3 linked regions of the Pelodiscus sinensis genome follow. The protein of the gene in region 1 interacts with the protein of each later gene in a biochemical or structural test. Links are inferred from orthologs where the notes say so. Each region holds a gene or a part of one and is shown in the gene's direction. Other genes may lie near its edges. The genes, in order: ERBB2, BLK and MATK.

Region 1 (3,745 bases):
TCCGCATTCCTCCTTTGGAATGTACAAGAGCTCCTACTGGGGCTCTTGTACATTTCAAAGGAAGAATGCGGAAGTGCCTATAGACTAGTCAAAAAACTATCTGATAAGCAAATGCTTATCTGATAGTCAACCAGTTGACTTGTCTTTAACATTCTTAGTTCCACCCTCAAACCACATTCAGCCCATAGGTAAGTTCACGGAGCGCACGTTCGTAAATGGCTATGAGTCAAGATGATTCGGGACACAACCCTCTAAACCTTGGACTGCTAGAAGCTGGAGCTGGACAGCAGGGATAGGTCGCTCAACAGTGCCCTGTTCTGTTCATTCCCTCTGAAGCATCTGGCCACCATCATAGAGAGGATGCTGGGTTGGGTTGGATGGGCCACCGGGCTGATGCAGTGTGGCCGTTCTTTTGCTCATAAACCAAACCCCTCTCTTTACTTCCAGCTCTGCACCATCGCACCATCCTGTTCACGCCCACCTTGGCCAGTAGCAAAATGAGCTCTGTTCACACGGAGCAGCCATGAGCGCTCATTCGTTTTCTGAGTTAACCTCCTCCCCCGAGGCCAGTGCCTGCCCCTCGGGCGATTGTTTCAGGCCCTCCACGGACTCCCTGCCTCTGGGCACTCAGCGCCCTTACAAAGTAGAGCAGGAGGCCAGAATTTTCAGAAGGGTCCGACACCCGCAGTCACGGCAGAGTTTCAAACCCTCAGCCTCCGTTCAGGCCAGAGGTGGGGAACCTTTTTGGGGGGGGGATGCTGATCCAGAGAAAAATCAGTCGGGGGCAGCACACTGGTGAGAAGCAAGCAAACCAACAAACCCTCACTGAGAAAGAGAAAGACCCTCTCCACATTCCCCTCCTGCACCAGAGCTTGGGGGGCTAGGCTAGTACATTTTGCCCACTCCAGCTCTGCAGGGAGGGGGGCTGAAGCACCAGTGTAGGCTCCCCAGTGTTGGGGGGGGCGCCCTAAGCCTCGGGGGCCAGATCCAGGCAAACTAGGAGGCCCCGGGCCTGAGGTGCCCCACCCCTTTGGGCACAGAAAGATGGGGCGAGAGAGTCGAACTCCCCCGCCCCTCCACTTGAAAACCCAGCTGCTTTTGCAGGTGTTTGCAGAGTTGAGAAAGACCCGCCCCTGGATCCCAGACGGCGCGGGCAGGGGCTAATATCCCCGGCCCGGTCCCCTAGCTCGGGAAGGAAGCTCCCTGCTCCGGAACGGTCCTCGGAGCGCTTGGCGAGCCTCGCCTCGCCTCTCCGGGGAGAGATGGCCCAGGGAGGGGGCATCCCCCGGCCCTTTTATCTTTCGCTCTCCTCCTCCTCCCTCTGCAGCCTCCGGGCGCGCCCCCCGGAGGGCAGAGCCAGCCGGGGCATCCAAGGCGCTGCTCCCCCAGGACGCGCGCCAGGCTCCGGGCGCGCCCGCGCCTCGCCACTCCCAGGGGAGTTGGAATCCCGCGCGGGGGCGCGCGGCGCGTCCCCGCCGCCCCGAGGAGGAAGTGCCGCGCGGGCACGACGCTGGGTTCGCAGAGCCAGGGGGACCCCGCCCCCCCCTCGCGGCAGAGACCCCGGAGCCATGGGCTGCAGCCCGCAGTGAAGACAATGACCCCCCCCAGCAGCGGCTGGCTCTGCATGGGGCTGCTCCTCGCCGCTTGCCTGCCCGGCGGCCGCAGCCACGACGGTGGGTCCGGGCTGGGGAAAAGTTTGTGCGGGGCGCGAGGAAAGAGGGAAAGTTCCGAGGGGGGGGGGGGGGAGCTTGGGATGTGGGCGAAGGAAAGCGGAGCTGGGAAGCGCCCAGCCAGCCGCGGGAAAGGGGGGGGGGGCGAAGAGGGGGGCCCACCCAACAAACTTTGCAGAAGTTTTGTGTCCCGTGCATCCAGCCGGAGAGCGAACCTAGCGCTGCCGATCGGCGCGGGGTTGCCCCGGGAGCTCCCGAGCACGCAGGAATGAGCCTCCCATGGGGGAGGGAGGGGGGCAGTGGGGTAAAAGGGTGCAGCCTTGGTTCACGACTTCAGCGATCCTGGCAGCGACTAGGTCCCACGAGTCCTTAGCGAGGATTCAGCCCGGCAGAGCCACTTCAGTAGGGAGCCTGTTTCCATGGGTTGTGGGGTTTGATCCCGCCCCGAAGAGCGATCGCTGCTTTTCTTTCCCGGGGACTCTGACTCCTTCTCCCCCCCCTTCAGACCTGCCAGAAAAATCGAGTTGCCCCGGGAGTGTCAGGGAGGGGAGACCTTGGCAGGTTTTTAAAATGGTTTCTCTCTCTCACTCCCTTGCTTCCTTGGGGGCTGTCCCACGGAACCAGTGGCTTTACAAAAATAAGCTCCATGCGGCTTACTTACTAGGAAAATGACAATCTCCTGCAGACCCTAAAGGTGCAGGCTGGGATCTAGAGAGCTGTGTGGCTAGGCACTGCCTAGAGTCACTCCTCCCATGGTTCTGTACAATGGCAGAGGCCTGGGTCAGACTTAGCACTTTCAAAGGTGTTTGGATAAACGAAACAAGGTGCATTTTTTTCCGTTTTAATCGTATTTTGCTTTGGGTGGGAAATCCCACCCTCTCCAGATGAATCCTGTTCCCAGGAATAGTTTACCCGGCCAATTGTTTTCTATCTCACCCACAAATGTAATAGTCTGGAAAGGAGTTTATATTACAAATTGCAGAGGGGAGGACTCCAGTCAGTTGTGGTGAGGGGGCGGGTCACAGGTAAATGCTTATTTTGCATGTTTCAGTATTTATGACAAGGAAGTAGGTAAGGCCAGAAAGATTTTAGCCTCGTTGCTTTATGCTGAAGGCAAGTTGTTTATTGAAAATGTTCCCACCTCATCCATCTTGTCTGCTGTTGATGAGTGTCAAGCTGTTTACTGTAGTCAAATACGGTGGGGCCGAGTGTTATTGGCGAGTTACATTTTGTAGTTCGTTAGCACTCATGGTTTACACAGGAAATTCTAGCTACTGATGCCCAAGGGAGTTGCCCAGTATGTTGGATGTAGATACATAATCCATAGCAGAAACCTAAATCTTTACTTAGTGTTTGTTTTCTGATGTCTTAGCGGAAGTAGGACTAGGACTTGCAAATTTGGCACGTTTACTTTATACCCATCAATACACCATATTTAGTGAAAAGTTCTCAGATAACAGTATCTTATCGAGGACCGCTCATCCTGCAGCCCGTCAGAGACTTTACATATACAGGAGTAACTTCACTCACAAGGTCCTATTGGTGTCGGGGGAGGTGGGCAGTGTTAGCTGCCTAATACTACAGAACAACACTATCCAACAGTTTGAGGGACAAAGTGAAGGGGAAAACTCCTTCAGTTGAATCTGCAGGAGTGAAGGGGATGTAGAGCGGCAAAATGTATCTACTCAGTTTGGAATTGGGTAGGACAGTCGAGCTAACTCCCTCCTCCCTCCTGAGATGAGATAATCCCTCAGGATCTTAAAGGATTTCAGCTGATACATCAGCCAAAACCTGCCCCTTATTGCCACAGTGGGACGTTAGTTCTGAAAGAGCGTCACCTGCCAAGTTTGGTGCCCTGCTTGGGTTTTCCTGTGTGCTTGTGTGTGTATCTGGGCGTCCCACATGCATGCCCAATCCTGTGAAGCTGATGCGATCGTAACAGAAAGTGGGCACTGAATTCTGAATCACCTGTTCCAGGTGAGATGCCAATAAGATGCTTTGTGTTTGTCGGGATTGGAATATCCGGGGGGAAAAAAGTTTCAATGAATGTTTTCCCTAATGTCCAGGAGAGAGGG
Region 2 (3,745 bases), on another chromosome or scaffold:
ATCCCTAGGGGTGTTTAAGTCCCAGCTGGACAAAGCCCTGGCTGGGACGATTGAGTTGGGGCTGGTTCTGCTCTGGGCTGGACTCGGTGACTCCTGAGGTCTCTTCCAGCCCCGTGATTTTATGAAATGTTTGGGGAAGAACCTGCATTTCTGCAAAAGGGGATTTGGGGCAGTGGCTCCCCCAGGCCGGGGAGACTGGACTGAAGAACTCATATCTTCTGTGGTGTGAGGGGGCTTTGCGTTGTCCCGTGGACTATCCAAAGAGTCACACCCTGCACGTGAATGCAGATTCCCAGTCACGTTTTGCAAGAGCCGAGCATCTCCCCAAAGAGGGAAATCTGGTAGCTCCTCCCCCTCAGGCAAATTTTATCTTTTACATCTGATGTCCCAGAAACTCCCCTTCTGTGTGCTCAGCCTTCCCCATCCTGCTCTCATTTACCATCGGACTCCACCCCAGAGGTGGCTGCATTTCAGTGGCGAAATGGTTTCTGTGAAAACGGGGCTCGATTCCGTGTCAGCTGGTGAGCCCTTCCTCCCCCTGGGAAGTCAACGGGAATCGGTGCCACCGCATGGCCAGTAGCACCGCTTGCACCACCCCCCGGGAGAGATGGTCCCACCCTCTTGAGCTTCACAGCGCTGCCCAAGGGATCCCTCCCCCCAATTGGCTGCCTTCCGCTTCCCCACCTCCTGGGGGAAAGCAGCCAATCAGGACTGCAGCAGAAGGAGGGCAGATCTCTCCGCGTTCCCCATGGCTCTGCTCCCCCCCGCTTTGCTCCTGTAATGGGTCAGTCTGCTCTCAGCTCCTCCCCCCACCCCCTTCAATGCCAGACCTGAGGATGGGGAAAAGGGGATTTGGGGCAGTAGCTCCCCCAGGCTGGGGAGGCTGGAGGGAAGAACGCCTAGAGCAGGGGTGTGCTGAGGGGCAAAGGGCAGCTGTGGGTAGTATTGATGTGGGGCTGTGGGTGCGTCATTCCTTCTGGGGGGGCAGAAGGGAGGTTGGACCGGCACAGCATGAGTTGGGGGGGCAGGAATGGGAGTTCCACGTGATCAGGCAGCGTGGGAGGCGAATCGGTGTAATTTCTTCTCCACGGGGTCCTCTGTCCACAGCAGGGCCCAGATCACCCTCCTCTCAGCATTTTGGGAGAATGGGAAACATGGCAATGTCCCATAGAGCCTCGGGGGTGAGAAGGGAGAACTAGGGGTCACCAGATGAAATGAATAGGCGGCAGGTTTGAAACTAACAAAAGGAAGTTTTTCTTCATGCAGCGCACGGCCAACCTGTGGAACTCCTTGCCGGAGGAGGCTGTGAAGACCAGGACTTTAACTGGGTTCAAAAAAGAACTAGATAGATTCATAGAGGTTAGGTCCATTGATGGCTATTCGCCAGGCTGGGCAGGGATGGTGTCCCTAGCCTCTGTTTGTCAGGGGCTGGGAATGGGTGACAGGAGAGGGATCACTGGATGATTCCCTGTTCTGTTCCCTCCCTCTGGGGCACCTGGCATTGGCCCCCGTGGGCAGACAGGCCATTGAGCTAGATGGGCCTTCGTTCTGACCCAATCTGGCCATTCTGATGTTCAAAAGTCAAAAGACAGATCAATATCACACGATTTGGGAACCAGTCTTGGTGATGTTTCAGGGTCAGGCACAGGACATTTGAACATTGGGGGGGCTGGCAATATTGGGTGAGTCGTAAACCTGGGCTAGTATGCTGGCATCCGCGTATGAGAATCTGGCCTAAAATTGCTGGAGCCCTTTGGGTTGAAAGCACCACACTGGTCAGCTTCTGAAATCCTTAGCCCAGGGGAATGTAATTTAGCTGACGTGTGTCAGCCTCGTGACCATTGGGCAAGTAGGAATGCTGCCCCTGTCACCCACACCCTTACTGGGGGTGGTTCCCTGTCCCATGGAGTGGCACTTAGACCGCTTACAGAAAAAATAATGAATCCTTTAGCTCACGTACAAATTGCCAGAGGTCCCAGGCTCAGTTCTGCCCGCACTACACAAACTTTCTGTGCACCCCAAGTTTCCATAGTTTGCTGAGAACCTTTTGTATGCTCATGTGGCAACTCAGAACACAGCTCAATTGTGACCTCAGCTAGGACTTGAACCCACATGCTCTAGTTTAAAAGGCCAGTACCATCCCTGTTCCACCACAGAGGGCAGATGAGCCACCTTGCCAAGAGTGTTTAGTGGCCAGCATGGGGCATGACCCCCTCTCCCCCACCCTGGCATTATTAGCATCACACTCTAGCCAGCTAAGCTAGCTGGCCCAAGAAGTTTTCCTCCTCTTGTTAATCAGATGACTTGCCTGTCTTGCCCGCTTCCTGTTGTTTCCACTGAAGAACTGATTAGCCGCGGCCAGCAGGGAAATCAAACTCATCTTGTAGCTTGCAGACCTCTTACTTGGCATAGTGTAACCCACTGGGTAGCCTGTGTTACTGGCCCCCTTCTGTGTCTATCTACCGAAGCCGTGTGGGTCCCTGGTGCGTCCAGTGAGAGAGCTTTATCACTAGGTGCATCGTCTGCTCTCAATCCTTGAGGCGTTGGCCAAGAGGTGGGGCCTCACCACAGCACCGGATGCGGGTGTAATGTTACATTCCTCAGCTCGGCCCGGCCACGCACATGGAAAGTGGAACAGCAGCCCCCTGGAAGCAACTCTGCCACCCCTCCGAGGCCTGGTCTACACTGGAGGGGAAGGTCGACCTAAGCTACGCAACGCCGGCTCTGTGAGTTGCATAGCTGGAGTCGCCGTGCCTTAAATCCCCGTCCACACAGCGGGAGGCCGATGGGCGCGCACGGTGCCACTTGCTTCCCTTACTCCTGGCAGAAGGAGAAGCACTGGACGCCAGCGGGGGATGACTTCAGCATTCAATTGAGCGGGCCTGCGCTAGACCCGCTAAATCAAACATTAGAAGATCAACTTCTTCTCTGTAGTGCAGAGACACCCTGAGAGGACATAACATAGGCAGGCTTGTAAAGACATTAAGGCTCCCTTATTCTTTTGCACAAGCGTGTAGGGCGAGCGATGATTTTACATCAACTTAAATAATTAGAGGTGATCAAAAAATGACACTTTTTCAATTTAATTTCCTGATCTATCTGTCTGTCTGTCTGTCTATCTATCTATCTATCTATCTATCTATCTATCGAATCATAGAACGGGAAGGGACCTCGAGAGGTCATCAGGTCCAATCCCCTGCCCTCATGACAGGACCAAGCACTGTCTAGATCATCCCTGACAGGTGTCCGTCCAACTTGCTCTTAACTATCTCCAGAGATGGAGATTCCACAACCTCCCTAAGCAACTTATTCCAGTGTTTCACCACCCTGACAGGTAGGAATTTTTTCATACTGTCCAACCTAAACTTCCTGTGCTGCAATTTCAACCCATTGCTTTTGTCCTGTCTTCAGAGGCCAAGGAGAACAATTTTTCTTCCTCCTCCTTGTAACACACTGTCTATATAATCTGGTGTTCAAAAACCTGACCCAGAAACATCGCTGGGGTCTCTGAAAATTTGAAACAATTCACTTCTCAGTAGAAATGTTTGGTTCCTAAATTTGATTTCTTCCTCTTTCCCTCCACCCCAGCTGTCTGCATCGAAGAAGCAGAAAAATTTGCCCAAAGCAAATAAGTAGGTTATAGTCAGAACGCTGTTTTTTTTGGCAAAGATGCTGTGGCACGAAACCTTTTAGCTGTCGCTATTCAACCCCTCTGCCACCTGCCAGCCGCCCCTGCCCACAGTGC
Region 3 (3,745 bases), on another chromosome or scaffold:
GCGCCGCAGCCCCTCACTTTAAATTCCCCACAGCCATCACCAGGGCACTGTGGAGCAGAGAGGGAGCATGCATGGCGTGCTCAAACGCCGCGCAAGAGGTAAGATGCCCGGGCGTGGCATGACGTCACGGCCTGGGACTTTCAAACCGTGTGGCCCAGCTCCAGAAGCAGCTGGGGCGGAGGCCCGAAAACACCAGCTGGCCTGAGCCATTTTTGCACCCCAGACCCGGCAGCACCGCCCTTTGTGTACCCAGGGGCACCCCCCCCAGCCTGGCAGCACCGCCCTGCGCCCTGGGGACGCCCCTGCCCAGCCTGGCAGCACCGCGCGGCCCCAGTGAGGCTCCCCGGAGGCACCCTGCCCGGCCCAGCAGCACCACGCAGTGCCCTGGGGACGCGCCCACCCAGCCCGGCAGCACCGCACGGCCCCACTGAGGCTCCCTGGAGGCGCCCTCGCCCCGCCCAGCAGCACCACGCGGCACCTTGGAGGCGCCCAGACTAGGGCCTGGCCAGCCTGTAGCTTGGGCCAGCTCAGACTCCAGCCCCAGGAATCAGAAGGCAGAAACCGAAGGTAAGGTAAGGAAGGGGAGGAGAAGGGGGGAAAATACGAGGAAGAGGTGGAAGAGGAAGGGGCAGGAGGGGAGGAGGGGGGACAGGGTGATGCTAGGAGAGGAGAGGGGCATTGAGGGTTAGAGCGAGGAGGGGGAGGTGCTGGGAAAAGGCTTGAAAGAAGGGGTGGGCATGAGAAGGGCGGGGATGGAGCAAGGCATGTGCGAGGGCACAGGGGCATGAGGGGAATGGGGGCAGAAGGAGGTGAGGGGGTGGGCATCAGGGAAAAAGGGGGCAGGGGCAGTGAGGGAAGGGGGAGGCACCAGGAGGGTTCAGGGCTAAGGGAAGGTGCAGGTGCCAGGGGATTCTGGGGGTGAAGCAGAAGGGCAGACACCTGCAGGGGAGGGACCAGCACCAGGGGAGAGAGGCAGGGGAGGTGTTAGGAGGGGGGATGAGGAGGGGTAGCTCACATGATCAGAGTGGGGCTACTGGAGGAGTGGGCACAGGGGAGAGAAGGGCTGGTGGAGGAGGGCAGGTCACACACATTGGGGTAATGCAACTGCAGATAGTTGGGGGGGGAGGCAAACTAATCCCTATTGGTAGGAGGATGGTGGGAAAAGTCCTTAGGGGGGGGTCACATGACACCATTTACTTCTGGCCATGTGTCCATCTTGCCCCCAGAGTGTTACCTCCAGAGCTGTGGCCCATGGGGGTCGGGCGTGGTTAACTGGGGTCAGGGTTGTGGCTAATGGGAGTCAGGGGGTGTGGCCCATGGGGGTCGGGCGTGGTTAACTGGGGTCAGGGTTGTGGCTAATGGGAGTCAAAGTAAATTTTTAAAAAATTCTTTGGGGCACACCCTAATGAGATGTGCTGCGCACACCTATGGGCTAGGGCCAGAACATTTTCCTTCCAAAATGTTCAAAATCTCCCCTGCCACACGGTAATTCTCGTTTTGTCACTTGCTGAGCACAATGTCTGGGACGTTTGTGTGGGCACCACCACAAAACAGGGAGTAGCAGAACAATAACTCACTGTTTCATATCAGCTGATTGTTAGTTTGCTTGGGTGTCACAAACTGCTGCATGGTTTCAAATCAGACAGCTGCTGATACTTCCTCTGTTGGGATGTGAACTTGTGCAGCAAGGGGGCTAAAGTCACCTCGGGGTAAAGCGTCATCGAAGACTGAATCATCTCTGGTTAAAACTGGCTGCATAAAAGCAGGCACTAGGACCTCCAAGGCACTGCCTCTGCAGCCCAGCCTCAAAGAGAAATCAGGAAATAAAGCGGAGAGGAGTTTCTCAGAGTGGCTGTTCTGTGAACACGGCTGCGCAGGAGGTAAAGTTCTGCTCCATCATTTGAACTGGGAATTTATTCTACAAGTTCTTGCGACTCAGGTCTGGGCTTGGCTTGGCAGTGAGCAAACCTGCAACGACTTTGGTGCCAAGGGCTTTGCATGGGTGCTGCAGGAAGGTAAGCACAGGGTCTGGCTAGGGCAGTAGCCGCGGCTGGGTAATACGTTTACCTTCTCCCCTCCAGGAGGCCAGAAGCGCTGGGGACCTTCAAAGTGCTACACTCAGCGGGATAAACAGCAGTGTCCTCCCCTTGGTGCTGCAAGACAATAAGCTGCCCTCTGTCTCAGCGGGTGCTTGTGCTCAGGGAGCCGTCTGACCCCATGTGGTGGGTAGATGGGAGGGGGGCAGTGTGTGCGGCACCGCCAGTCTGCTGTCTGACACCGAGCTGTGGGTAGGTTTCCTGTAACCTGTCTGCACAGTTGCCAGCTCTTCCACTGCTGTTTGCACTGATGCAGACACTTGTCCAGTGCACTTGTGCCAGGCAGGACTACGCAGTGAACGGGCTGGGCTGTATGTTTCGATATCTCCAGGAGCATGTCAGAGACCTGCAATTGCACAGGCTACAGCAATCAAAAGTGGTTCCAAAGGGGTGGAACAGTTCAGGACTGGGAGGGGCAACCTAGCCTAGTGGGGGAGCTGCACGAGCGGCCCTCCTTCATCTCAGTGGACTGTAAGTTTGTGGGCGCCAGGGCAGTCTCCTGGGATGGGGTAGCTCCGCTCACTGCAGGATGGAGCGACTGAGCCGTGGCAGCATTGTGATTGGATGCGGGGGAGCGCGCAGCTCTCACAGTCAGCGCCCTCCTCACTTCACACGCCCTGGCTTTATGTGCGGGTCACGTCGGTAGGAAAAATCGATGTGGATGAAAATCAGCAGAATCTGGCAATGGCAGCACTATCTCACGAGCCACACACACAACCCTGGCCGGCTGCAGGTTGCCCACCGCTGGGTCGGGGCTAGCGTTTCCTGTCCCCTAGGCCCGACAGATCGGGACTGCCGGTCATGAGAGGCATTGGACAGGAGCTTCTCATCTGGATGGATCTTCAGTTATTTGTGCATGAGGTTTCCACCGGTAGGGCCCATGAATCTCAGCAGTGGGATCCATGCAGACAAAGCGTCTCACAGACCCGCGCCTACTGTCAGGCCTTTCCCACCGCTTGGGAACGGCAAGGGACCAAAACAACCAACTTTAACCCTCCCAAGATGCCGGGTGCTGACTCCTGTGAATGAGCTTGGTAGACCAGGCACTTGCATCATCAAAACTGCCACCGTGAGGTCGTGAACCCCCCTCTTAACCTAGCAATGGCTGCATTGAGCCAGTCTCACAAGAGGCTGGGTCGGGTGCAGAAACTTGCCCTCTGGTTTGTTCTTCCCAGGGCTGGCCAGCAGCCAACTTCCTTCAGCATGACAATCACTGGAAACCTGTAAGCCCAGCTACCCCGACCCCCGCCAGTGCAGGACTGATCACTCCTAGCTGAGCCAGAAGTGCTCTCCCTTTGGTAGGTAGGAGCCAGTAGAGAGCATCGTTGTCCTCTTCCTGTGCGTGATGCTTCAACGCTTTCTCAGTGCTATAGCAAGACCTGCTGTTCCGATCTGCCTGCTGCCTCTGGCTCAGCAGAGCAACATTCACACCTGAGCTTTCAGCAAGCCTCCTCCAGGGAAGCGTGGTCAGAGATAACAGCGTCCAGTGGTCAGGTTCCACCTGACAGGCTGGTTTGGTCAGCCTCATGGGTGTGTTTTGTGCCTCGTTCAGTAGGCTTTGCTTCCGCTTCATCTCCTGTGATGGTGGTAACAGGCTCCCTTCCTTGACCATGACTTTGGTTTGATTGTAGTGAGGTAGGTGAATGGAA

What was found.
Region 2: the proteins of ERBB2 (region 1) and BLK form a complex in vitro, tested with the Homo sapiens proteins (2 studies listed by BioGRID and IntAct, with this or other methods). The link is inferred for Pelodiscus sinensis from reciprocal best matches to the Homo sapiens genes ERBB2 and BLK.
Region 3: the proteins of ERBB2 (region 1) and MATK form a complex in vitro, tested with the Homo sapiens proteins (2 studies listed by BioGRID and IntAct, with this or other methods). The link is inferred for Pelodiscus sinensis from reciprocal best matches to the Homo sapiens genes ERBB2 and MATK.

Annotation. Positions count from the first base shown.
Region 1 is NC_134739.1:11,545,555-11,549,299, reverse strand, and holds the start of ERBB2 (receptor tyrosine-protein kinase erbB-2), read left to right. Parts: upstream 1-1,468; 5' UTR 1,469-1,594; coding exon 1,595-1,673; intron 1,674-3,745. UniProt on the Homo sapiens protein: Protein tyrosine kinase that is part of several cell surface receptor complexes, but that apparently needs a coreceptor for ligand binding. Essential component of a neuregulin-receptor complex, although neuregulins do not interact with it alone.
Region 2 is NC_134713.1:2,660,324-2,664,068, reverse strand, and holds the start of BLK (tyrosine-protein kinase Blk), read left to right. Parts: upstream 1-787; 5' UTR 788-2,622; coding exon 2,623-2,726; intron 2,727-2,732; exon of another isoform or gene 2,733-3,055; intron 3,056-3,745. UniProt on the Homo sapiens protein: Non-receptor tyrosine kinase involved in B-lymphocyte development, differentiation and signaling. B-cell receptor (BCR) signaling requires a tight regulation of several protein tyrosine kinases and phosphatases, and associated coreceptors.
Region 3 is NC_134729.1:30,054,580-30,058,324, reverse strand, and holds the start of MATK (megakaryocyte-associated tyrosine-protein kinase), read left to right. Parts: upstream 1-1,389; 5' UTR 1,390-3,745.